Ovis aries: one gene and its partners. The protein of the gene in region 2 interacts with the protein of the main gene of each other region in a biochemical or structural test. Links are inferred from orthologs where the notes say so. Each region holds a gene or a part of one and is shown on either strand. Other genes may lie near its edges. The genes, in order: HDAC6, NEDD8, POLI, CUL4B, PSMD4, OTUB1 and NUB1.

Region 1 (4,242 bases), on a different chromosome or scaffold from region 2:
TCCCTGTCCAGGAACATTTGCTTGACCCAGTACAAGAACACCAGAAATAACCTGACCTTTTCTATGAATCCCTATCCTCACATCTCACATAAAAGGAATGCCACTCCTCAGGAAGCATGGAACCTCTGCACTCATCCTGTAAAAGAATCCCAGCCAGATAAAGGAAACCGAAGACTGACACTGTACAGCAGGGATCCACAAACCGTGACCTTCAGGCCAAAGCCAGACTGCAACCTGTTTTTACACTTTTAAAGAGACAAAAAGAACATAAAGGAGAGAAAAGGAGGGGAAGGGATGGAGAAAAGAAAGAAAGGGAAGCAAAAGAAAGGAAAAGGAAGGAAGAGGGGGAAGGAGAACAGGAAGGAAGACAATGCCACAGTGGCCATATGTGACCTGCAAAGCGTAAAATATTTGTTATCAGCCCCTTTACAGAAAAAGTTTGCCAACGTCAGCTCTAGAGAAATCTCTCTTCTGACTATTCAGAAAAATATGGGCCTTGGCTTTTTCATGACTCCCTACTCTTTTACCCTGCATCACAGTCTCAAAATGCTCCTCAGGGTGTATCACTGTCTACATGCTTTCTTTGGTCTATGCAGAGGTTTAAAGGTCTTAAAGCTGTAACCCTCTTCCACTGGGACAAAAGACATGGTCAGGTAGGAAAAGACTGTAAGGGACGAGAAGGCTCGAACAGGGGTTTGCAAGACGGTCAGAGGACCCAGCTACCGGGCAATGGGGCTGTCAATCTGTTTGTTAGTAAGCGATGTTGAACCCCAGACTGCTTATCTCTCCCACCCCAGCCTACAGCCCAGTAGGAAATGGTGAAGAATGAGACAGGGAGATTAGGAGGACAAACTGGCTTACTGTGGGGCTGACATTTAGACATGTGATGTGAGGTAGCTGGGGATGGGGTGCACAGGGGCAACCTCCCCTACGTGCTAGGCACACACTTTCTATTACACCATGGGAGTAGAAGTGACACTGTGGAGGGCCACCGCCCAAATAAAAACTCCCCTCCTGAGGTCCATTCTGTCTCTGGGCACTATCATTATCACAATTTTCCAGATGAGGAAACTGAAGCACAGAGATGTTCAGTAACTTGCCCAAGGTCACATGGTTAAGTCACGTAACCTTAGTTTCCTCATCTGCAAAGCAGCCTCCAGGAACGACCTCATAGTATTTTGTCTTACGACAATGCCTGTCACATAATACTTGCTATTATCACAATTATTTGCCCCTACCAAGACTCCTTCTGCTCCACCAGTTTCGCGGCAGAATATTAGTATCTAACATTTGGTGAATGTTTCTTGTGCACTACCTTAGTGAACATGAACTCAGAAAATCCTCACATTTATCATCATCACCACTCCCATTTTGGCCGCCACCAGCCTTGTCCAGATTCCAACGCTTTCCAGGCACTACCACCAGCCCGCCCGGGCTACGTCATTACGGCGCGTCGCGCGGGAAGCCACGGGGAGGTGAGAAAGCGCCCCTTCCTAACGCCCTTGTTTGCTTGCTTCCACTCTTGAGTCATCGCACGGTAGGGTGGCGCGGGTCTGGAGGGGCCCTAAGGTAAGTGGACAGGGAATAAGGGACGGCGGCCATGGCCGATAGGACGACAGCGGGGGTGGTTGGGAGAGGGTCGGGCTTGAGCCCCGGCGCTTGGTCGAGCCGCCTGTAGGCGCCTCACGCAGGCGCAGTACGGCCAGCGTCGAGCGCAGAGAAGTGGAGTAGCCGATAGTGAGTCCACGGGAGGTGTGGCCCGCTGTGGGGGCGCGGCGGTGCGGCACGGTCCCCTGTGTGGGCGGAATCGGGGCGGTCTATGGAGAGACTCGGCCCAATGTAAAAGAGGGGATCACGCACCTGCGGTCGTCAGGAATTTGGAGGCTCCAGACAAGGGCGGAGTTTGAGAAAGGGGCTGCACCCGGTGAGTGGCGCGGAAGGGATTGGTCGGTGCCAATGGCGGGGCGAGAAGGAGGAGGGGCCAGCGGAAGGCGGCTCGAACTGACTGAAGGAGCTTGGTGAAGCGCTAGGGGTTGGACTTGGGTAGGGGGTGGGGCCTGTTGGAGGGAAAGAGGCAGTCCCCTGAGGAGCTGGGCTTGTCAAAACGTTAGGGTCAGGATCTAGCCAAATGGAAGGTGCTGGGCTGGCCCGATAAGGGGTGGAGTTAAGTGGATCGTTAAGGGTGGAGTCGGGGCCGGGGCCGGGGCTGGGTCTGGCTGAGTGAAAGGGTGGCTGATGATCTTGGGAGATTGGCTGGAAGGGGCAGGTTTGCGAAGGGGTGGGGTCTGCGCGAGGCTTTGGGGAATGAAAGGGTTGATAGAGCGGAAGGGGCGGAGAGAACGGACTGAGCTTGGGGGTTAATTGCTCTGTTAAAGGGCAAGACTTTGAAAGGAGAAAGAATAGTGTTAAAGGGATGGAGCCTAGTGGAATGGGCGGGACCAGGTAGGATGGACACCCGGTTGGAGGGAGAGAGCCTTGAGAGGTGGAGTTTAAAAGGCGGTCGGGAAGAGCCAGCATAAGGGAAGGAGACTAGCCTAGGGGGCGGGGTCTGGGAAGGGGCTGGTATGTGGGGTCTTCAGGGCGTTCGGGCTCCTTCACCGTCACCTCCACCCCACCCCCCAGGACCGCGTCAGGGGTGAAGTCTCCCCAGCCATGACCTCCACCGGTCAGGATTCCACCACACCCAAGGAGCGAAGGAGTAGGCACAATCCCCCCTCCCCCACCCATGACTCCAGCATCACCTCGGTGAGGCCCCCCAACCTGCCTTGATGAGGGGGAGGGGGAGCAGCGGGCTGTGCATTGGACTCTGACCCTTCTCTCTGTTTGGCAGAAGCGAGGTATTAAAAAGGGTGCCATGCTCCGCTCCAGCCCCAGTCTAGCGGAGGTAAAGAAGAAAGGCAGAATGAAGAAGCTTAGCCAAACAGCCGAGCAAGACCTCATCATGGGGCTGCAAGGGCTGGTGAGAGGCTCCTGGGACAATCAAAACCCTAAGGTTCTCCATCCTGGACAGTGTGGGATGTTCCCTCTGATTCAGGCCCTCAATGCATCAGTCTCTCCCATTTTTTTCCTCGCAGAATCTGAACCTGGAGGCCAGGACACTGTCTGGCACTGGTTTGGTGTTCGATGAACAGCTAAATGAATTCCACTGCCTCTGGGATGACAGGTGAGGCTGGCTCCTCCAGGCCACACCCAGTGCACAAATATATGCACTTAGAGCCCATTAGCAAGAATGAACCCTTTCTTACTCTAGCCTAGAGACTGGAAGCAAGTGATTTAGGGAGATGGGGATCAGGCTCGAATGGGTTCTTTTCATTTAGCCAACGAACATTTATTGAGTGCCTACTGTGTGCCAGACATGATACGAATGTGTCAGACAAGACAGACAGGGAGCTGACAAGTAGGAGAACAGGTCGCTAAATAGCCGTCAGCAACGTGAGGTATTTGGTGAAGGAGGACTTAAGACCAGGGCTTTCAAGAGTGTTTACTAGAGGACCTTAGATTAGTAACCAGGGTTCTCAGGAGGCTTCCTTGAAGAAGGGACCTTTGTGCTGAAATGGAAGAATTACACTTCCCATTCAGTCACATGTTGCAATCCATCAGCAAATTCTTTTGGCTGTTTGAAATGGATTCAGAATCTGACCTCTCCTTGCCATCTCCACTGCCACCACCATTATGACTCACCTAGACTTGCAGAGACCTCCTTGCTTCCACCCTCGCCCCTATTGCCTGTTCTCCATACAACAGCCTAAAAGAATACATACAATGATGTTCTCTCTCTTAAAGTCTTTCAAGGACAGACTGTTTCCCTGAAGGTAAAGTTTAAATTCTTCATCCTGGCCTTCAGCGTTCCATGTGACCTGGTTCCATATCACCTCCATGACCTCTTCAGCCAATCCTACCCCTCATTTGCTTCACTTCACTTCATGCACACTGATCCCCTTGCTGTTCTTCCAACATGCCTGGCATTCTCTCATCTCAGCCTCCTCTCCCAGTTAACATTCAGATCTCAAGGAGACCCTTGGAGAGGGCTTTGCCTGGCCACTCCCCTTTCCCCACACCTGAGATATTCCTAACCGATGCCATTGTTTTGTCCATTATTATTCTTATGTGGAGAATGAAATGGCAATCCACTCCAGTATTCTTGCCTGGGAAATCCCATGGACAGAGGAGCCTGGTGGGCTACCGTCTATGGAGTCGCAGAGTCGGACATGACTTAGTGACTACAACTTGCTTAAGTGTTTA
Region 2 (2,923 bases):
ACTCACTCTCCTGGTTTCTAACACCTACATCAATAGTATGCTGAAAGATATTTAACAACCAGTTTGGGGGGAAGGACTGATTTGTATTGTCAATTTCTGTAAATACTCTGACCGTGGCCAATTTCAAGCTACCAACATGAAGTCAGTTAATATGGGGCTGGGAAAGATGCCAGCGATTAACTCTGGCACAAGTAACAGTTGGCTCTGGCACACTCCTGAGTATATACACTTACAGTTTGAGAATTCCTCCAAGGGTGCATTCCTGTCCATTGTCACAGTCCTTCAGCCTGGTGTAACTGGGTGTGCACCGGGTCCGTTCTGGGTTTTTTTTTACCACACCCAAAACTAAGATCCGACTGGTTCTGTGGGATCTTAGTTCCCCAACCAGGGCCTGAACTCTAGCCCTTAGCAGTGAAAGCACGGAATCCTAACCACTGAACCACTGGGGAATTCCCTGGGTCCACTTTGATTTCAGTCACATTTGTGCAATAGAAGAAAGATTCCAGGAGGTCAAGAAATATTTTATTGAGAACCAGGGACACAGCCATAAGAGAGCGAAGCACACAGGACTGCAAACTAAAACCCAGTAGCCAGCAAGGGCCCTCTGGGCCAGGAACACTGCCTCCTGGGGTCCTCACAGTCTCCCACCAGCAGACACACAAGACTGGGCAGCCAGGGGAGCGGGGAGTGGTTCTGGTGTCCCACAGAGGGAGAGGATATACGATGCCTCATTATGAGTGACAGGGCAGGGAGGTCAAGCGGAGCGGAGTCCATCACTGCCTAAGACCACCCCCTCCTCTCAGAGCCAACACCAGGTGGAGGACTGAGCCACCTAGTATCTTGTAGTCAGCTGCCGTCTTCTCATCATTCCTACAGGAAGAGGCAAAAACAGGAAAACAAGTTGTTAGCAACACCCTTTAGAGTGGCACTCTTGACCTGGGTTTCATGGATCTCTGGAGATCTATGAGTGCATATGAGAAAATAAATTACATCTTTTATGTTTTTACTAACCCCCAACTGTAACTTGATATTTCTTTCAATTTTGAACACAGACAAAAGCCCACAGAGGAATTAGCAATATAGGTAACCTGTTAACAAGAGAAATTAGAGATATTTTCAGACTTCCCTGGTGGCTCAGTGGCAGAGAATCAACCTGCCAGTGCAGGAGACAGAGGTTCAATCCCTGATCTGGAAAGATCCCACATGCTGAGAAGCAGCTAAACCCATGTACCACAGCTGTTGAGCCTGTGCCCTAGATCCCGGGAGCTGAGACTACTGAAGCCCACACGCCCTGCAGCTGGTGCTCTGCAACAAGAGAAGTCACGGCATTGAGAACCCCACGCGCTTCAACTAGAGCAAAGCCAGCGCCGCAAAGACCTAGCATAGCCAAAAAAAAAAATCCCATCACCATACCTTCATTTCCATTCCATACTTACATCTGTTTACCACTGTAGATGAGCCGCTGCTGCTGTGGTGGAATCCCCTCTTTCTCCTCCACACGCTCCTTAATTCGTTCCACCTTTAGGGGTACAAGTAGTCAGGGGCTGCTCAGGGGGAGGGACCATGGAAGTGGAAAGAACAAGAGCTATGCAGATCGCATGAGAGCAAAAGGACTAATTTCATCAGCATACCCAGGCAAAGGCACATGTAGGGAGATAGGCTTGGAGAGGTACTGGGCATACACTACCTTGTCCGTGGGTTCAATGTCAATCTCAATCTCCTTTCCGGTCAGCGTCTGAAATAGGCAAGGCTTTCATAAGTCTTATAGTTCAGTATACAATTTGTCTCCTAGGTAAAACATCCTGGCCTAGCCTTGGGGGATTGACTCCCTCCTGAGAAATGCACATTCTCAGCAAAGTTGATTTGAAGTGTCAGGAGTATTTGCTCAGACCCAATTTCAGACATTTTTAGGCTGTGAACAACTTTGACAGGGGAAGAGTCTGTAAACCATTTGACCTCTTAATCTCACAGGTCATCTCATTCCCCACCCAATTAGAATCCATGAGAATACTATAACTCCTTTGGATAAGACAGCAATGAGAGTTGACCTAAGGAGAGTATTCCTTTGAAAAGGACCTTGTTTTATGTACTAATGCTAGAAATTAACACTCAGATAATTCAAAGCATTCTCAAGGACACTAGAGATCACCTCTGACCAGCTTTTTAAGCAATACTAGAACTCAACATTCTATTCTCCTGTATCTTCTCCAGATTTTCACCTGAATCCTAAAATTGCAGCTCTGGTCTTCTTGACTTATTCCATAGGCTAAGGGTTGCTGATACCCAAAACACAACCATACACTTACAAATGCTGTGCTTCATCCAATCTTATCTCCCATCCATTCTTGCTCTTAAAGCGCCACCTGCATCAGTCTACAGTAATCTAGACTACAAATGGACAGTCTAATTTAGGGACATTTTCTTTGCTTCTACTGTTTTCCTTGTTGCCATCCCCTCTTCCAATCTTTCTCAAACCTTCAAGGGACCCTTTAAGATTGATGACTTGTCACCAATGCACTTTATTTTTTTTTTAATTTTTTTTTTTTACCAATGCACTTTAATAGATATTACAGCTAGTTGTTTTAAGTGTCAAACTCTCCAATTTACACTCCAACTTCCTAAAGGACAGAGACTGTTCAATCTTCCCAGTCTAAGCACAAAGTATGGTGTTTGACATATAAGCAGTCGATAAATATTAATGGAAAGGCTAAATACACTGTTGGCTCAGACGGTAAAGCGTCTGCCTACAATGCGGGAGACCCAGGTTCAATCCCTGGGTCAGGAAGATCTCCTGGAGAAGGAAATGGCAACCCACTCCAGTATTCTTGCCCGGAAAATCCCATGGACGGAGGACCCTGGTAGGCCACAGTCCTTGGGGTCACAGAGAGTCAGACACGACTGAGCGACTTCACTCACTAAATAC
Region 3 (3,500 bases), on a different chromosome or scaffold from region 2:
TGAATTTAAGACGTCTCTATAATGGAATATTATATGGCCATTAAAAATAGCTCAAATGGTATCATTTCATTTGATTCATAGAGGTATGCCTTGTTGAGTGGGTAAAAAGCAAGATGCAAAAACCTGTTATCAGGTTTTTCCATATGTGTAAGACAGTGACCCAAACACCTTCCCCCACATATGTGTATGTGTCTATGTACACTTAGGAAGAGAAAGAAGAGAGGGTGTATACTCGGTATTTAACCCTGGGTAACTTCTGGAGGGGCAGAGGTGGTGCTGAAACAGGGGGATGAGGGAAGAAGGGAGAGCCAAGCAAAAAAGACAAGACTGTACTCCCAAAATACCACTTGTGTATCTGTGCACAATTATATATATATATCTGAATATTCAGAAAATAATTTTTTCTGTACATAGAGATGATGTAATACATATAGTTGTACATCTTTGTTCTTGGTGATCTTTCACATCATCCATATAACTCTTGCCTCATTCTTTTTAATGCCTGCACAGTATTCTATTTTGTCCCAAACTTATTTAACCATTCCTTTACTGATTTGAAGACAGTATATCTCATTTTATGCCTGTTGTCCTTATGTAATCATTAATTGCATCTCCTTTCATTAAAAAAAATATCTCATTTTGGATGATAAATTATGTGGTTTCTCTTATAGTGAGGGGTTATTAGGCTCTTACCAATTTTTTGCTCTTAAAAAATATCAATATGTGCTTCAGTAGACATTTTCATATAGAAATTTTCACATACGTTCATGAAGCTATCCTTAAAGTAAGTTCCTAAAGGTTAACTGCTTGAGCAAAGATAATTTGCATTAGAAATTTGCATACTGCTCTATGATGCACTTCAGGTTTTCCCAGCACATTGTTAGTAAGTGTGAGAGTATTAGATATTCATAAAGATTTTGCCTGATAGTTGGAAAAAAAAGTAAATCGTTGTTTTGATTTGCATTTCTCTATGAGAAGTTTGAGCATTTTTTTCATGTATTTTTGGTCATTTATCTACATGTTTTGTCTTTTTTCCTTTATAATGTCAGACAAATCAGTCTAAATGATTTCTGTACCACTGCAACTCTTCACAGTGAAAAGTATCATACTAGAAAATCAATGCATAAATCTCAGTTTTTACACTGATTCTTAATTTATAAATTAGTATCTTGAAAGAATTAAAAATGCGCTAATATAATAACAAGAAATATTCTAAGCATGATTTATACATTGATAAAAAGTTATTTTGTTAATTTTTTTCATGGTGTTTTTGGAGTTGAAATAGGAATGTAGCCTAATAGTCGTATACTGAATTACCTCAGAACTATTTATGACATATAACCTTATTGTTTACTTTATACCTTTATTCTACAGTATTCCATTTTTTTCTGTAATTACAAACTCCTTTGGCTTGTGTAATCATAAGGTGTAATAAATGCATCTTGTTTATGAAATTGACATATTGACAGCCAAAAAGGTTAACTTCACAAATGGACAAGTGATTTATTCCTATGACCTAGTAATAGAACTAATGTAATCAGTCCATGTTCAGCAGTCCACCAGCTTTGTACATGATTCTGTATTTAACTTGCTTTTCTGCGTGGTAGTTAAAATTTGTCCTTTATTTTCCTTATTGTAGTATTGTTTTGATAAACGTTTATTTTTTACCTGTTACTGCTAGGCATCAGATATATACTTTTGGGAGAAAAAAAGCAAAAATTGGTGAGGGAAATTCAAAGAATTCTTTTATATGGTCAGACACATTGTCAGTTTTTCCCTCTGTTTTCTCTCAGTAGGTTGGAAGTGATTTTTGAAGGTCACTAGATCATACTGTTCCTTTATTAATTGTTTTACCCTGCTGTTTTCAGTGTTAGCACCAATAAAACAGAGCTTTCATATTATAGGACTTTTTTAGAACATAAGCATTTTTGTATAATAAGTGACTAATAAGTTATTTTCTGCTACCCAGCTGGTATCAGTAGATGATTCAGAGAGAAGTGAAAATTCTTCTTAATGGTTTCAAAGTTATTAGTTTTAATCCTAAAAATGAGACTTGATAGTCTTTTTGAACTTATTTCAAATCTTGGTTCAGTTCAATTTAGGAAACATTTGACATAAGGACTGGCATTTGTGCTAGAGGCTGGACGTTCGGATACGTGTGAGTCACGATCCGTCTCTGTCCTTAGGGAACGAGTTGGAGGGTGACTAGTCAAAATGTTGCATTGTAGTATATTTTGTATTAAGGAACTTTTCTTTTTGACTTAGTATTCATTGGAAATTTAAGTTTTATTTTGTTTTGCCTTTTTAAAATTCTAGTGAAAAATATAGCCTGAGTATATTATTACTTTATTTTTCTAAGCAGACTCTATGACCTACTGCTTCAAGATTATAATTAACTATGTTCATTGATATTTAATGTACTACAGATAAATTATTGGTGTAGGAGATTGTGGTAAATATATTGCTATGAGTATCTGCCCAGGAAATGTTATTTTTGGACTTATTTTATTGGAACATATTGCTTTTGCGCAGAATATGGCACAGGAAAAAAAATCCCAGTTAACTGACTTTATTCAAGATATTGTGTAATTGTGAATATATGTAAAACCTTTATTTTGTTATTTTTTAAGCATGAATAAAAGAGTTAAATCTATTCTAGTTATAATCAGTTATATCTGCTCCAATATTATTTTAATTTAGAGTTGTTGGAAGAATTTAGTCCAGTTGTTGAGAGACTTGGGTTTGATGAAAATTTTGTGGATCTAACAGAAATGGTTGAGAAGAGACTAGAGCAGCTTCAGAGTGATGAGCTCTCAGCACTGACTGTGTCGGGCCATGTATACAATAATCAATGTAAGTGGGTTCTTACGCACTCCATTTAGTAACTTAAAGTACCTGCATTTCTTAATGTTCAATCAGTTCAGTGAGTTGACTGTGTCTTTCAAAAGTTCTATGGCTTTTGTTGCCATAGTTCAGCCATCTAAGGTGATTAAAATTAGATATTGTTATTCCATATTAAACAGGCAGAAAATGGTATTTTGATGACATACAGCTCAGTGCTTTGGGCACTTTTCATTTCTCTGACACAGTCCTGTGTTAACCATTTTTAAGTGTCATACCTCTTTTAGGCCATCCTTAAGTTACAGGAGTTGGCTTCTTGGAGTAATTTTTGGTTTTCGTAAAACCATCTTAAGCAAAATTCTAGGTAGACTAAATTTGCCATTGTTGCCTCTTTGCTTGTTCACTTCTATTCTCCCAGGGCAACAAGAGCCTCCCATGTTAGCCCTTGTGGGAGCTTCCTGGCCTACCTACCGTCCTTTGTATGCTCATATTTAATCAGTTGAAATTCATCTACTTAACAATTGAAGTGCCAGTGACTGATGATATTTCCAGGGCAGTATTGTGTTTGAAAATAAGCTGCAGTCAGCTCCACTGAATATCTCCTTGGGCTGTCAAACATCTAGTGACTGCTGGTGACTTCTAGACCCTACCATGTAGAA
Region 4 (3,500 bases), on a different chromosome or scaffold from region 2:
CTCAAAACCCAAAAACTATGAGAGAGCACGTAGTGAAAAGTTTCATTTCCACTCCAACCTCCCTGCCCCAGCAAACAAATGTTATTAGGGGTATCATTCCAGAAATGTTTCATGTGTGCAAAAACAGATGTGTGGAGGTTTTCTCAATTTTCTTTTTTATATATACATAAATGATAGTAGACCACTATTCAGCACCACACCATGCAGTCCTTTGTATTTTTTTATACCTGTTAGGCAATTTCTCCATAACAATACCTGAAGAGCTTGATGGAAAAGTTCTTAAAGATGGAAAATTACTCAATCTGGTCTATATGTTAAGCAGTCAAGGCTAAATTAGAGACTAGTAAGGGGTTCTGTTCCATCTTGACCTTCAAAATTCACCTTAGATCCTCCTGCCTTGGCCTTTCCTTCTTTTATTGCTTCTAATAACTTAAACCTGGTGACAGAGGATGAGATGGTTGAATGGCTTCACCAATGCAATGGACGTGAACTTGGGCAAACTCCAGGAGATGGTGAGGGACAGGGAAGCCTGGTGTGCTGCAGTCCATGGGGTTGCCAAGAATCGGACACGACTTGGTGAATGAACAACAACAATCTTAAACCGCTTTCTAAGCACACGTGAAGCCATATGCATATAATGTGCATGCACACACACTTGGTTGCTCAGTTGTGTCCAAATGGTAACCCACTCCAGTATTCTTGCCTGGAGAATCCCATGGATGGAGAAGCCTGGTGGGCTACAGTCCACAGGGTCGCAGTCGGACATGACTGAGCGACTTCACTTTCACTTTCATTTTTCATGGACTGTAGCCTGCCAGGCTCCTCTGTCCATTGAGTTCTTCAGGCAGGAGTACTGGAGCGGGTTGCCATTTCCTACTCCAGGGCATCTTCCCAACTCAGGGATCGAACCTGCATCTCTTGAATCTCCTGCATTGGCAGGTGGATTCTCTACCATTGCTCCACCTGGGCCCAATTCTCTTTTTCTCACTATTCCCATAAGCTCTTTATCCACATCCCTCTGGGTCTTTGGAACTCCACCTCTTTACTGCTGCTCAGCAAGCCTTTCCTGACTTTTCCCTGCCATAAAGATTGAGTTAGAGACCTCACCTCTATGTTTATCCCCATCATAGCACCTAATAGTGTGTTGTAATTACATATTTTCTGACCAGTTTTCACTTTATGCTGTAAGCCTCTTCTGTGTGTAGGACACATTGCTAGTTATAAGTACATTAGTTTTTTGAATATTTATTATATTCTCCTGGTTTAGAGCCCCAGAAGTATTAAAGAACATACAGGTACATGAGCCCATGGTCTGGTCTCTTTCTGTCATTAAGGAGAGTTGGGGGCCAGGATATACACATTCAAAGATACAGTGTTGATTCAGTGACAGGTCAGTATGGTATGACTGTTGGTAGTGCCATACGAGTCATTGGTAGCTGAGACAGTTAAGGAAAGTTTATTGGAAGAAGTGGAACCTAGCTGAGTAGTAAGGGAATGTGGTATCCTGTATGAGAAGATAAACAGGTGGGATGAGAACTAACGTATGGAAGAAAGTATCACAGCAGAAGGGAATGGTAGAAGTAGGACTTGGAAAAGTACTTGAAGTGGGAAATGTGAAGAAAATGCACTACAAAGACAACTTAAGCAGGGAAACAAGAAACGCTGAGAAAATCAATCATTCAAAAGGAACACCAAGATACAATGAGAAGACTACTAAAGGAGGAAGAGAGTCCATAGGGGATCATTGTGAACCAGTCAGGCACATGAAATAAACGCACTCTTAGACATTTGTGGCCTGACCCAAGGCCCCATCGTAAGTGGTGGCCAGCAGGAACTTCGCTTCCTTATTCCTCGTTAGCTGCTGGGTCTAAGTGGTCTGCTGTTTGCTGGTAAGGTGTAGCACCTTTCCTCCTTTAGTATAAGTGGTTTCATTTAAGCTTTCTTTTCATTTATGAGTTTATTTGCTGGACCTGCATGCTGGGAATATGACTTCCAACTACATATTTATAAAATTTCAATCCAACCAACAGGACTTGGATGGTCCCTTAGAGTCAATTTTAATGGAATTTTTGCCTTCTCTTGTGGTGAGAAAGAAATCCTGGTGTTATACTTAAGTCATTACTAGTTGGAATTGTAGATTATTTCAGAGTTCTACCATGCCTGTTGTATTAAATTTGAAAGTCTTTTGATACACCTAAGAAGAAACTCAGTGAAATCTCAGTTTTGTCCTTTTGGGATTTGACTATAAAAGACCAATCCAACAATTAGAAAAAATAAAAATTCAGTATTTCTTTAGGAGTTAATGTTTATTCCATTGTGCAAAATTTTAAAATGGCTATTTAAATATTCTTAAGCTGCAGTGTTGGAGATAAATCCTTGTATAATTATTTCATTCTTATAACACTGCTTGCAACAAATTCTGGATTGCTCTGTTCAGGAAAACCAAAGAAAGTATAAATAAATTTAAATTCAGTGGTAGTTGGACTGCCCAGTGAAAGTGAAAGTCACTCAGTTGTGTCCAACTCCTTGCAACCCCATGGACTATACAGTCCATGGAATTCTCTAGGCCAGAATACTGGAGTAGGTAGCCTTTCCCTTCTCCCCAAACTATCTAATAAACAGTTGGTAAAATTATTTTTCAAACTCAAAATGGAATTCTGCTTAGAAAAACAATTAACATTTTTATGAATAAGACAGAGTTTATATGTAGCAGTTGTTATAAATTCAGTGTCTTTACAAGTGGAGAATTTGGCTTGATTCCCCCCATACTTAAACTGTACTGCCAGAATAAACAGATTTGGGGAGGGGTGGTATACTACACTGGTTATGAAAAAAGTTCACTAATTGCATTGATATTTGGTGGTTTTACCTTGTGTTTTAAATGGATGACATCCTTTTTAATAAGTTAACATGGTAGAAATAACAAATAATAGGAATTAGATGTAAATAATCAAGAAATATATATACAGAGATACATTCACTCCTTAAGAAAGTATGTGTTTAATTTTGCAGGCTGTGGAAAATCTCTGTTCTTACAAGATTTCTGCAAACTTGTACAAACAGCTGAGACAGATTTGTGAAGATCACATCAAAGCACAGATTCATCAGTTCAGAGAATATCCTTTTAAAAACAAAAAAACCTTGTATTTTCATCTTTTCCTCCCTCTGTCCCTCACTTTTTAAACCAGCTTAAAATGGAATGCCTATGTTTTGTAGATTTGTTGGGTTTTGTTCATCTTGCCTCTAGGGAAACGTAAAATTTCACTTTTTACCTCTAATTAGGGTCCAAATCTACATTGTACCACTAACGTAAATAAAATTTCTTTATGTCTTTACTCTTATTGTCCTCACAAATTTCCATTTGAGGAAAGATAATCAGGAAATAATGAACTGAAAACACAGTGCTCAATTACATCTAAGACTTGCTTTTTGTTGTTTTGTTTTGACCTTGTGGCATGTGGGTTCTTAGTTCCCAACCATAGATTGATCAAACTCATGGC
Region 5 (4,040 bases), on a different chromosome or scaffold from region 2:
GATCATCCAGCTGCAATAGCTACTAAGTACAAAGGCTGTGGGCAAGACCAGCAGATGGATGAAGGCTGGAAGAAAGATGTCAGAGGAAGCCCTGGGAGGTGGGGGGGGGGGGGGGGGGGCAGCTGAGAGGGAGGAAGAACCTGCTGTGCAGAACACGAGAGCGGTCCTCCTGCTGTCACGAGTGTATCAGAACCACTTTGAGGGTGACGGTGCTGGCACTGGTAAAAACACAGATGCTTGCACACCTATGTGTGCACCCCTAAAAAATGCAGTTTGCTTTTCCCAACATTGAACTTTATACAGACAGGATAATACATGCATTTCCTGTGACTACTTTCACTCAACAGTAATTTTTCCCAATAAAATTTTATATCAAAATAAGGGCTGACAAAATTATCCAGCTATTCCATAAAATTTTCATTAAAAAAAAAAAAAAATACAGATGCCTAAGCTTCCCTGGCTGGGAGTCTGAGCCACCAGACCAAGCAGAATCAAATATACACAACTTTCTGAGGGCCAGCAAAGCATGAGCAAAGAAGTGGCTTTCACTGCTCTTCTATGGCTGGGCTGTTACAACAGGGTGCCAGTGCATCACTCTGGACCTAACCTTTCCTCCCATACCCCAAGCCAGATCAGCATTCTTAAATCCCATTTTGTATATAGCTCTGGCTCCACCAGCCTCAGAACGTTTTCAGTAGTCCTCCATTGAAGGGTAAAGGGCAGAATTCAGCCTCCTCAACCCGACATCTGTGCTCTTCTACCTGGCTGCATGCCCCTTTCTCCAAAAAAGGGAACCACCTTCAACCAACAACCTAATAATGAAGCCACACTAGTCCATTTTCTACTCCCTAAACAAGCCTTGAGAATGTACACTTCAGCAGCTTTCCTTATGCCCTTCTCCTTACATGTAATGGCCTCTCCTTAACATTTGTCTAAGTCCCTTCAAGGACCCTCTTAAATTCTTTCCTGAGGACTTCTTAAGCATCATGGCAACTAACAGATGCAGAGTGCTGCAGTTTACAGAGCACCACGACACACACTGCCTACCCTTGCTATGAGAAGAGTAGATGTTACTATTATATTCGCATTTTATAGCTAAAGTGAGAGATTTACTACATTCTCAAGAACATGCGGCTGGAAAGTACCCCAAACACAGGATTTTGGATTCCAAATCCTGTCCTCTTTCTACTCTTAACTTGCTTTCGTCCAGAGGCTGCCATATTTAGCAAATGAAAATACAGGGCTCCCAGAATTCCCTGGTGACACAGTAGTAAAGAGTTCGCCTGCCAATGCAGAGAACATGGGTTCGATCCCTGGTCTGGGAAGATCCCACATGCTACACAGCAGCTAAGCCCAAGTGAGCTGCAACTACTGAGCCTGTGTGCCACAACTACTGAAGCTCCGGCGCCTAGAGCCTGTGTTCCACAGCAACCAGAACCCTGCAAACCCTCACCACAACAAACAGTAGCCCCAGGTCCCAGCAACTATAGAAAGCCCAGGCAAAAGCAGTGAAGACCCGGCACAGCCAAAAACAAATAAAGAACAGAAAATACAGGACTCCCAGTTAAATCTGAATTTCAGACAAACAACAGTAACTTTCTAGTGAAAGTATGTCCCATCCAATATGTGGGACATACACATGGCCATTGTGATATTAAAAATAATTGTTTATCTGAAATTTAAATTTTACTGGGCATCCTATGTGCTATCTGGCAACAGTATCTACCCAGCAAAAAGAAAACCCTTAGGTGTCTGTTCCATGCAACTGGGGATTTGTGTGTGTTTGTGTATTATTCTGTTTTCATTCCAGGCTCACACTTAGAAGAAACTCTTGAAACCTTGCAAAAGTGTGGTCCTCAGTTTTAACAGCTAGCCAAGTCAGACTGATGAGAGCTCACTGGATAAGTGCCGAAGCGTCTTTGAGTCAGATAATCCTGAGTTTAAACCTAGGCTCCACCACTTAACCTGCTGTGTGATTCTGTGTAAGTCATTTAAAACTGCCGAGACGCGGTATCCTCATCTGTAAAAGGGAGGGAGTATTGTGAGGCTTAAGTGAGATGAAGCAAATTAAATGCCTAACATTTAGAAGGTAGCTTAGTAAAGAATCTGCCTGCAGTACAGGAAATCCGCATTCGTTCCCAGGGTCGGGAAGATCCTCTGGAGAAGGAAATGGCAAACCACTCCAGGATTCTTGCCTGGAAAATCCCAGGGACAGAGGAGCCCAGCGGGCTACAGTCCATGGAATCGCCAAGAGTCCGACACGACTTAACGACTAAGCCACAAACACTTAAAAAGTACTCTTGTAGTGCCTTTGACGGTAACACCAGGAAAAGCAAAGGAGTTAGCGACAAGTGAGTGGGGCAAGGAAGGGAGCTGAAACTCTCTTCCTAACACCCATCATTGTGAAAAGGAGAGGAAGGCAGAAGACTAGCACGGTGAGTCCGAGAAGCAGGACTCTAGCTAAAGACAGATGTAGGCTGGTCTAGAGAAGACGACGCTGTAATGGAGAAAAATAGCAGGACCGGTCAATGACTGTCCGCGGACTGAGGGTTAAGGGGGGTACCTCGGGCCCGTCCGTCGGGAACTACCTCTGGGGCCCCGGGATGACTCAGGGAGTCGCTGGAGCTCCTTTCCTCCCGGCCCAAGGCCTCATCTCTTCCACCAGGCCCCCTCGCCCACCCCAGGACCGCCTGGCCTCCGAGCTACAGGCGCCCCCGACCCAGTCCCGCTGCCCAAGGGGGCCCGAGGTGGCTCCTCACCAAACCATAGTGCTTTCCAACACCATCGTGCCTCCTTCCTCCCTCCCCGACCGGTTCTCCTAGACCACTAAACAACAGCTCCTCCAATTGGCCCGGCGCGCATCACCAATCACTGACCTCGGTTGGGCCAGCTGGTTCCGCCTTCATCCCCGTGTTGCTTTCTGGGAGTTGTAGGCGCCGCCAGAAAGAAAAAAAAAAGTGGGAGCTGTTTGGGGCGGAGGGAGGGGCCAAGTAACACAAAAAAGAGGGCCACACCTCCACCTGCCCTGCCATTCAGGTTTTCTGGTGGCGTTCCTTGCAGAGAAGAGCTAAGAAAAAACGTGAAGGAACTTCTGAAAGTGCTGAAGCTATGTCTATTCCAGCATCATCGTTTTTAAAAACTGGTGGGATGACTACTGACTACTGACTTTCCAGCTCCCCCGGTTCCCCATGGCACTTTGTTCATCAAACTACTAAGCACTTATACCTCTGAACTGCATTTGTTTGTGTATCTGTCTTTCTCATTTCATTAAGGGCAAAAGAAAGTGAAAGTGTTAGTCGCTCAGTCGTGTCCCCCTCTTTGCGACTCCATGGATTGTAGCCCGCCAGGCTTCTCTGTCCGTGGAATTCTCCAGGCAAGAATTCTGGAGTGGGTGGCAATTTCCTTCTGCAGGGGATCTTCCCCAATCCAGGGATCGGACCGATCTCCTGCACTGCAGGCAGGTTCTTCACCGTCTGAGCCATCAGGGAAGTCCCCATTAAGGGCAAGAGAAGTGTCAATCTCTGCTATCCCTAAGTCCACTACAAAGCCTGACATATGGTAGGAAGGCAGAAAAAAGTTTGATGAATCAATAATTTTAACTAATCTCCCAAAGAATGGGAGACAACCTAGTCAATCACTTTCGCTTTTTAATCAAATCACATTTTAGTGACTTCCCTGGCAGTCTAGTGGCTAAGACTGTGCTCCTAGTGCAGGGGGCCCCAGGTTCAATCCCTGGTCAGGGAAATAGATCCTACATGCCACAACTAAGACCCAGTGCAGCATCCCTCAAAAGAAGAATTACATTTTAAAATGTCTTAGGGATTTCTCTAGTGGTACAGTGATTAAGACTCTGCACTTTCAGTGGAGGGGCTGTGGGCTCATACCCTGGTGGGGTAACTAAGATCCCACATCTGTCATGGTATGGCCAAAAAATAAAAATAAAATTATTTTAATTAAAAATGCCTTGGCTGGAAATTCCCTGACAGTTCAATGGTTAGGACTCTGCACTTCCACTGCAGAGAGCACCAGTTTGTTCCTTG
Region 6 (4,083 bases), on a different chromosome or scaffold from region 2:
AGACTCTGCCAACCTGTGAACCAGTGACCAGAGGGCTCCCCAACCGTCCACCCCTCTGAGGCCAGGCCCAGCCAAGCGCAGGTATCAAGTGGCCAGGCTCCTGCCCCCACCCGAGGGCTCTTCCTGTCCCCTGGCCAGGCTCCCACCTTGATCTTCTGTTGATAGATGTTGTCATCCTCAGCATATTCTTTGTATAGGACAGAGAGCTCCAGCCGCTCCGAGACCAGTGGGTTCTGCACAGCAATCTGTGGGATGGGGAATCCATTACACTCTGACAGGCAAATGGAGTGACCCACACCTGTCAGCCCGAACATCTAGCTGAGAGTGGCTGGGCCAGTCACCCAGCGGCACATGGACCTCACATTCTCCCCATAAAGGCATCTAGTATCAGCTCAGCCTGGGGAGGAGGGAGCTTCCACAGTAAAGACAAACGGTAGGCCTCAGTCCAACCAATGTATCCCCAAAGTAAGGCCACTGGCCACAGCCACTCACCTCTTGCTGAATTCGGTCCTGCTGAGCCATGATGGCTTCATCATAAGCAAGACAGTTAACACCTGGAAAAAGGAAGAAGGCCAAGTATTACAGTGGGCCCTGGCTCTCCCCACTCCAGGAAGCTGGGCCGAGGACAAGAACGGGCCAGGAGAGCAGACGTGCAATCTGGAAGCATGCATCATGCCCTGCTCCACCCCAACTGTGGGATCTTGGCAAAGTCCTTCCATTTCCTGGGCATGAGTTATCTCATCTTTAAAGGGAGGAGGCCAGGGACTTCCCTGGAGGTCCAGTGGCTAAGGCTCCGAGCTCCCAATGCAAGGGGGCCTGGGTGTTAGGTAAAAGACGACCAGGACACCAAAAGAGTGTCTAACAGGCTTTAATGGCGAAGCGCTCCCGGGCGGGGTTCCCGGACCCGCCCAGAACGTGTTAGAAGTTTGTTTATATATGCACGCTGCGAGGGATGGCCAGGTTAGTGGATGGGGGTTTGGATAGGTTGCCGGGCCGAGGCGTCACGGGCTGATACGTCCTTCTACGTGGCGGAGGTGGGGCAGCTTTAGCTGGCAAACTGTGCTGTCACTGGTCCCCGGGATCTGGGAGGCCCCTTCCTTAGGGACTTCCCCCGCCGACGGGGGAGGGAAGGGGCGGCCCATCATGGCCCCCCGGGGTCCGATCTTACACTGAGTTTGATCCTTGGTCTGGGAACTAGATCCCACATGCCATAACTGAGACCTGGCACAGCCAAATAAGTATAAATAAATGGTGGAAAATAAAGTAAGCAGGCCAAGGTGATCGCCCCCCAGGGTACACTCTTCCAGCTCGAACAAGCCCTCTCCCCCTGCTCTCTAACATCACTTCCGAGCAGCCCGGAAGGCCCCTGAGCCAGGTCTATTGAGGAAAGACAGATGAGGAAGCAGACCATCTTCGGCTAGATGAGCGCTTTGCTTTCCTCAGTCACACCATTCCTCCACCTGCCATCCTGGGTATTCGTAGTGGTGCCCATTTTACAAAGAACAAAAACGCAGACAGGTGAAATCACCTGCCCGAAGTCGCGACGAGGAAGACCTGTGGTCAATCCCAGGTTTGTCTAATTGCAAAGCCTGGGCTCTTTGCCACAATAACTCCCCTGGCACCTCACTGCAGAGGCTCATCATCAGCTGTGAATAGAGACAGATAGCACCACCTTCCTCCCTTCACTGTGATGCCCTGAGGAGATGGTACCTTAAGAGGTGTAGTTCAATACTCATCACTGAGTTGGGCGGGTCCACCCTGTGGGCCCCATGCCAAGCAGCCACTGGTGAGGAGCCAGGAGACCTGAATCCTGGCTCTGGTTCTTTCTTAACTTACACGATCCTAAACCAGTCCCTTCGGGGATTGGGGGGAGGGTCTAGGTCCCCAAAAGCTGTTTTTCAGTGTGCGGTTAGAGAGGGAGCTGTGTGCTAAATGACTTTTAAGGCCAATCCTTTTGATCTTGAGCAGGCCGGGGCCTCAGCTGGGCTTCCACCCACCCCCGACACTGCACTGCAACTGGGCCATCCCTCCCAACCCTAGTGACCTCCTCAGTCCCCAGTGTCTAACTCAGGGGTGAAAAGAAGAGGGTGGGACCGTTTTGAGAGGTCCAACTCTTCAGGGGTCTAAGGAAACTATGCCGAGACAGGAAGCAAGGGGCTGCGAGGCTAGGAGAGGGGACTCTACCGGAAACGAAGGGCGCTGCCCTCCTGGGCACACACCTACGGCCGCTCACAACCCCGGGCGGCCCGCAGCATCCCCAGCGGCCCGCCCAGTCCTTTGTGCTCCGCAGCCCGGCGTAATTCGACGCCCTCCCGGGCTCGGGCCGCTCTGGAGGAGGCGGACTAGACGGGGCCGGACTAGGCCCGGGCCTGACTGCCAGGTCCGGGGCGGGAGAGCCGGGACCCGGGAGCCGGACGCCCAGCGGGGAGGGGGCTGGGCGGGGGGTGGAGGGGCGGAGCGGCCTAGGCCCCGCCCCAGGAGCGCGCGACAGGGAAGAGTCGCGGGCCGGAGGCCGGCCCGCTTTCTCTCCCGCCGCCCGGCCGGCCAGGGGTCGCGGCGGCGGCTCCTTCCATTGTGAGGGGGAGGGGAGGCGGCGGACGCGGGGGAAGGGGCCCTCCGCTCGCTTCGCCGCCAGCCGCCCCAGCCCTGGTTTCCTCGGGAACCGGCCATCCGGCATCGCCCCCGCTAGCCCAGGCCGGGCGGCTCTCCCCTGGTCGGTACCTTCGGAGTCGCTGCCAAGCGGCTCCTGCTTCTGCTGCTGAGGTTCCTCCGCCGCCATCTTTAAACAGCGCCGCACTGCCGACCGCTTCCGGGTTACTAGTCGGCCTCCCCCCGGAAGACAGCCCCTCCTCGAGGCCCCTCCTTGGTAACGCCCCTAGCAACGGGATCCCCTCGGGCGTAGTCACCCGAGGGGCTCGCAGTCTCGTTCGGCGGCGGCGGAAGCCGGGGAAGTGAGGGCAATCCCCGCCCGCCCTCCTCCCGCACACTTGCTCGGTTCCATCTTTCCAGGCTCCCAATGTGCCAGGTGGTGATAAGAGCTTCCTGGGGCCACTTGAGTTTTCTTTTCACTAGAGTTTGAAACGCGGATTGTATTATTGAGATAAGCAGGAAAATGAAATTCAAATCACGGAAGGCAATTCCCGCTGCGGGCTCCAGAACTCAAGACAGGCGAATGCAATGAGGATCACTTGGCCGAGGAGACCGGGAATTCTGCTAATATCCGAGCTCTGGGAATTCACCGCCCCCCTCCACCGAGTCTCGGTTCCGAGCGGGCTTTGGTGTCCTGCTTCTGACCGAGAGACCACGTCCCTCGGGGTCGACCTTACTTTGGACTACCTGCCCTTGTGGTTATGAGAAAATCAGGATTTTTTTTTTTTTTAAGATAGAAGTTGACAACAATGAAAAACAGATTCGTGGTTCCCAAGGGTTGAGTCGGAGTAAGGAGGGAAGTGGATGTGGTTATAAAAATGAAACAGAAGTATCCTTGTGGAGACAGAAGTGCTCTTTATCTTGAATATATATGGAGATCCTGGAATATGCTGTACTGTAGCTTCAAACGCAAGATGTTACCAGTGGGGGAAAGTGGGTAAAGGATACCCAGGATCTTTCTGTGTACTCTGTTAAAATCACCTGTGAATTATCTAAAAATAAAACTTAAAAAGTGTCAAGGCCTTGGATGCTGAAGATGCAGTTATTTAGAGAAGTCACCTTCAGGGGTACTGTTCCTTTGCCTTTCTCTATGGAGGGCCTTTTCCATGATATGACAGTGGTCTCTTAGCACTTGAGGAGGCCGTGTCTGAGCCCCAATCAGATCCCTCCGTTCATGATAATACAGGTGCAGAATAGGATGAATATCTTCATGAGCTACATCCAGTTCTGGAGTAGGGACGGTTGGTGCCTGGGCTCACCACACTGCCCACAGTGGCGCTCTCACAGCAACGCTACACATGCCAAGTCTTTGCCCCAGCAACATGGCAAATTACTATTTCCTAGGTCACCACCAATCCTTGTGTTTGCTTCGAAATTCAAGGAAGCAAAGGGGCTACCCATTTGGATCCCACTCCTACCACACTGGGCTTCTCG
Region 7 (3,500 bases), on a different chromosome or scaffold from region 2:
ACTTATTTTGTCTTGGAATGTTACATAAAGGACTAGGAACAGCCTTCTGTCTCCAGTTGATAAACGGAGAATGTAACCTACAATGAGCATCTCCTCCGGCTGGCCCGCCTGGAGAGTTCAGTGCAGAATGGCAGGGCCTCCCTGTCCTGGAGCAGTGGCTTCCTGTGGCAGTGCTTGTCTCGGTGTAGTTTACTTTCCTCGAGGCCACATGCCCTAGTGGATGGATCAGAATGGGGGCCAAGAAAAGCTGACAGTTGGTTCTTCCGCCTCTTCCCTCTGGCCCTGCAGCCCCGCTCTCTAATTGGAGTAAGGGGACATGGCTTTACCTTTGAGCGTATCCAAGGGGGTCTTTCTAGCCGCATCTGCAACTTGGCCCTTGAGATCAGTCTCTGAGCTGGAATCCAGTAGCTTCTTACATGAAAAGCTTTAGTGGCCGTGGGTCATGTTGATTTTAATTTTTCGATCTTTAAAGGACATTTTTGAGTAGGTTTCACTATATGGGTTACATTGTTTAAAGTTAAATTTTAATAAGAGAACTTTGTAACTCTCACTGAGTTCATTTTTTTATGGTAATTATTTTCTCACTGCAAGTATTATATCCTCATATTAAATGATAATATTTAGATCTTTGTGGAAAACCTTTACAATATTTATATAAGAATTCAAATCTAAAAATATTAATGAATTTTAAGGAAATTTGGATCGTCTTACAAAAATTGTTTCAGAAATGCTACAGTTGACAGATTCTTCAGAGAAAAACCCAATTAAGAATAGGAGGTGAAATGAATGAATGAATGTTCTTTCTAAAAAGGATACAGTCATTACTGGCTTTTTAAAAATATGTTTAGTCTTATGGATACTAGAAATAGACCCAGATCAGCAGATACTAAAATAAATTGATAGAAACAAAGGGACAGGCACATTAAATGTCCCTCAAAGGGACAGACTCACTAAATGGAATTCTTGTTTCAGTGTTTAAATGAGATGAAGCTTTAATTCTGTTTTCCTTAATTTTGACTTTTAGATTCAGTTGTGGTCTTGGTTTTTTTTTGTTTGTTTGTTTTCATGTTCTTTGATTTGTTTAGACTTAATATGCTTTTAATATAATTTGTTTTATTATAGTTTAAAGTGATGTTTTTTTAAATCCTTATTTTTCCCTAGGCCCTTATGTTAGCTATGGGATATCATGAGAAGGGCAGAGCTTTCCTGAAAAGAAAAGAATATGGAATAGCCTTGCCATGTCTGTTGGACGCTGACAAATATTTCTGGTAGGCACTTTTGTCCTTGGTGGATGCCAATTTGGAGGAGGGTGGCAGTTAGGCACAGCACCTTCCCCACCCCTGTGCACCCCAGACTTCAGGCTTCCCCCAAGATGGTCAGTGTGAAAGAATAGTTACAATGTAGACTGGCTGGTGAACTCTTTCTCCCCATTGTATTTCTAATTGATCGCTAAAGAATTTTATAAACTTAGGTACTAATTTTTTTTACAACAAGCATGTAGGATTTCATGTCTGTTTCTTATTATGCGTTGCCCGCCTGAGCTACAGCTGACTCTACAGTCCCCGTCAGCTTTTCGCCTGATCGTTTTGGTATTCACGTTTCTGATCATTCTCCAAATCCGTTGTTTCATAGGGGCTCAAAACAATGATAGCTCATTATTCCTTCTGTGTGTATTGCTGGAATTCATTTGAAAAATACTTTTCCTCATCAGTCGCTGGGTTCTCCTGAGGTACAGTTTGTACAGAAAGACAGAACAAAATGCTTGGTTTCTCCTTATTTTCTTGTTTTCAGAATAAATGAGTGCTTCCCTAGCATCTTCTAAAGATGACGTCACTGGTGTCATCCCCTGCCTTTTTTTTTTTTTTTTTTTTTTAGTGTCAGTCTGAGCTCATGGATTTTAACACATTAGATTCGTTTCAAACCTCAGTGCTTATGGTGGCCGTCTTCAGTGGGCAGGTGGTGCTGCAGCCCTTTGCCCTGATGCGGTGGTCTTTGTACTCTGCTGTCTGTTGTCCAAAGCTGGTCTAGACTCACCCTGGCTATTTCCTGCCCCAGCACTTTCTCTGGTGCCTCTTAATGGGAAATGATACTAAGACACTATGATCCAGGCAGATGGAACATTTGAGAGAGAGACTTGATGCTTGCAGTGGTCGAAAGGTAATGGCTTTAGTGTTATTTTATTTTCCATTTTGAGAAATTCCCCATACATACAGCATACTTCAAGAAGATGAATGTTGGTGTTTCTAGTTTGCCAGCTGTGCAAGTGGCACCTTGCATTTAACCAGCTTAAATGTAGGCAGAAAGGGGGATTTTTTTTTTTTTATTTCCTAAAATATTTGGGAGGCAAGGGAGTAACCAGAATGGGGGCTTGGTGCCTCTGCCGTTTTCTTCTCCTGCCTCTTTGTCTCTGCTTTTATCTGAGTGTCAGCATTATTCTCTTCTGGTACAGGCAGTGTAGGCTGTAAGTTAGTCATTAAATTCAGATACATTTTTTATTTCCTTCCACAGTCGTTTCTAACTTTCTGTTATGGAAAATCTCAAACATATATAATATTGGTGATTAATATAATGAATTCCCACAGACTTTTCATTCATCTTCAGCAGTTATCAAGACAGGGTTGATCTTGATGTGTCTAACCCTTGAAATCATTTTCAGGTCTCAGGGAACCCTTGAAAAACAATAATAACTCTCTCTTCAGTTCATAGTCCATTCACATGTTCAGTGAGTAATAGATACAATAATCCAATAATAATTATCAGCGCCTTTTTAGGTAGAAAACGCTATTTTCTGGGGAACCTGTTTACTCAGGCCAGCTCACCAGCATACTTCCTGTGCAGGTCCCCTCTCTCCGTCAGAGGTCTACTCTCAACCGAGGCAGCGTGGAGATGGAAGAGGCGTCCCTGCCTCCTTCCCCCCGTGACATCTTCCTGCCTTCTCCGAGTAGCTCGAGTTCTCTCCCAGCTCTCTGTTGCACATCTTGGGGTGTGGTGCGTAGCGGGCCTGAGAGCAGCTTCTCTCCCATTTTCAACTAGAAAGGGGAGTTCTGCTCTTGGCCAGGGTGGAGTGACAGGGACTGGGTTTCCTCTCCCCTGCCTCAACTGAAACAGGGGACAAACTGTATACAAACAGTGGTTTTCTGGCAATGCAGGACAGTGGTCCCTGAGGTGGGGAAACAAACGCAGGGGAGCCTGTGGATTGTTTTAGCTCACTGCCTGCCGTTCCAAGACCTCAGCGTGGGGAGGAGAAACCCAGGCAGGGCCTCCCGGTCTCCCCCCAGTGCACGAGCTGGAGCTCAGGGAGGAGGGAGCTGCCTGAGGGACAGCATGGTGAGTGCAGAGGGCACCCCGGGGTTCTGCCCGGTGACGTCAGCACACACCTGTGAGGGGACCCCGTCCCCCCACAGAGAATTCAGTGGGGCGTGGCAGCAGGGGGAGGACTCATTTCGCCCTCCAGACTGCTCTGGTCCCGCCTAACAAGGCATCACACCACCACCTTAGAT

What was found.
Region 1: the proteins of NEDD8 (region 2) and HDAC6 form a complex in vitro, tested with the Homo sapiens proteins (2 studies listed by BioGRID). The link is inferred for Ovis aries from reciprocal best matches to the Homo sapiens genes NEDD8 and HDAC6.
Region 3: the proteins of NEDD8 (region 2) and POLI form a complex in vitro, tested with the Homo sapiens proteins (2 studies listed by BioGRID, with this or other methods). The link is inferred for Ovis aries from reciprocal best matches to the Homo sapiens genes NEDD8 and POLI.
Region 4: the proteins of NEDD8 (region 2) and CUL4B form a complex in vitro, tested with the Homo sapiens proteins (2 studies listed by BioGRID). The link is inferred for Ovis aries from reciprocal best matches to the Homo sapiens genes NEDD8 and CUL4B.
Region 5: the proteins of NEDD8 (region 2) and PSMD4 form a complex in vitro, tested with the Homo sapiens proteins (2 studies listed by BioGRID). The link is inferred for Ovis aries from reciprocal best matches to the Homo sapiens genes NEDD8 and PSMD4.
Region 6: the proteins of NEDD8 (region 2) and OTUB1 form a complex in vitro, tested with the Homo sapiens proteins (2 studies listed by BioGRID, with this or other methods). The link is inferred for Ovis aries from reciprocal best matches to the Homo sapiens genes NEDD8 and OTUB1.
Region 7: the proteins of NEDD8 (region 2) and NUB1 form a complex in vitro, tested with the Homo sapiens proteins (4 studies listed by BioGRID). The link is inferred for Ovis aries from reciprocal best matches to the Homo sapiens genes NEDD8 and NUB1.

What each region holds. Positions count from the first base shown.
Region 1 is NC_056080.1:56,256,806-56,261,047, reverse strand, and holds the start of HDAC6 (histone deacetylase 6), read left to right. Parts: upstream 1-1,442; 5' UTR 1,443-1,475; exon of another isoform or gene 1,476-1,569; intron 1,570-1,745; exon of another isoform or gene 1,746-1,924; intron 1,925-2,062; exon of another isoform or gene 2,063-2,266; intron 2,267-2,323; exon of another isoform or gene 2,324-2,442; intron 2,443-2,622; 5' UTR 2,623-2,652; coding exon 2,653-2,745; intron 2,746-2,830; coding exon 2,831-2,992; intron 2,993-3,074; coding exon 3,075-3,163; intron 3,164-4,242.
Region 2 is NC_056060.1:20,759,894-20,762,816, reverse strand, and holds the end of NEDD8 (NEDD8), read right to left. Parts: intron 1,736-2,923; coding exon 1,688-1,735; intron 1,520-1,687; coding exon 1,437-1,519; intron 871-1,436; coding exon 774-870; 3' UTR 501-773; downstream 1-500. UniProt on the Homo sapiens protein: Ubiquitin-like protein which plays an important role in cell cycle control and embryogenesis via its conjugation to a limited number of cellular proteins, such as cullins or p53/TP53.
Region 3 is NC_056076.1:54,034,412-54,037,911, forward strand, and holds part of POLI (DNA polymerase iota), read left to right. Parts: intron 1-2,092; exon of another isoform or gene 2,093-2,158; intron 2,159-2,700; coding exon 2,701-2,853; intron 2,854-3,500. UniProt on the Homo sapiens protein: Error-prone DNA polymerase specifically involved in DNA repair. Plays an important role in translesion synthesis, where the normal high-fidelity DNA polymerases cannot proceed and DNA synthesis stalls. Favors Hoogsteen base-pairing in the active site.
Region 4 is NC_056080.1:104,877,681-104,881,180, reverse strand, and holds part of CUL4B (cullin-4B), read left to right. Parts: intron 1-3,012; coding exon 3,013-3,117; intron 3,118-3,500.
Region 5 is NC_056054.1:101,142,646-101,146,685, reverse strand, and holds the start of PSMD4 (26S proteasome non-ATPase regulatory subunit 4), read right to left. Parts: upstream 2,801-4,040; 5' UTR 2,786-2,800; coding exon 2,760-2,785; intron 1-2,759. UniProt on the Homo sapiens protein: Component of the 26S proteasome, a multiprotein complex involved in the ATP-dependent degradation of ubiquitinated proteins.
Region 6 is NC_056074.1:38,767,155-38,771,237, reverse strand, and holds the start of OTUB1 (ubiquitin thioesterase OTUB1), read right to left. Parts: upstream 2,801-4,083; 5' UTR 2,780-2,800; coding exon 2,722-2,779; intron 555-2,721; coding exon 493-554; intron 246-492; coding exon 147-245; intron 1-146. UniProt on the Homo sapiens protein: Hydrolase that can specifically remove 'Lys-48'-linked conjugated ubiquitin from proteins and plays an important regulatory role at the level of protein turnover by preventing degradation.
Region 7 is NC_056057.1:115,531,670-115,535,169, forward strand, and holds part of NUB1 (NEDD8 ultimate buster 1), read left to right. Parts: intron 1-1,161; coding exon 1,162-1,268; intron 1,269-3,500. UniProt on the Homo sapiens protein: Specific down-regulator of the NEDD8 conjugation system. Recruits NEDD8, UBD, and their conjugates to the proteasome for degradation. Isoform 1 promotes the degradation of NEDD8 more efficiently than isoform 2.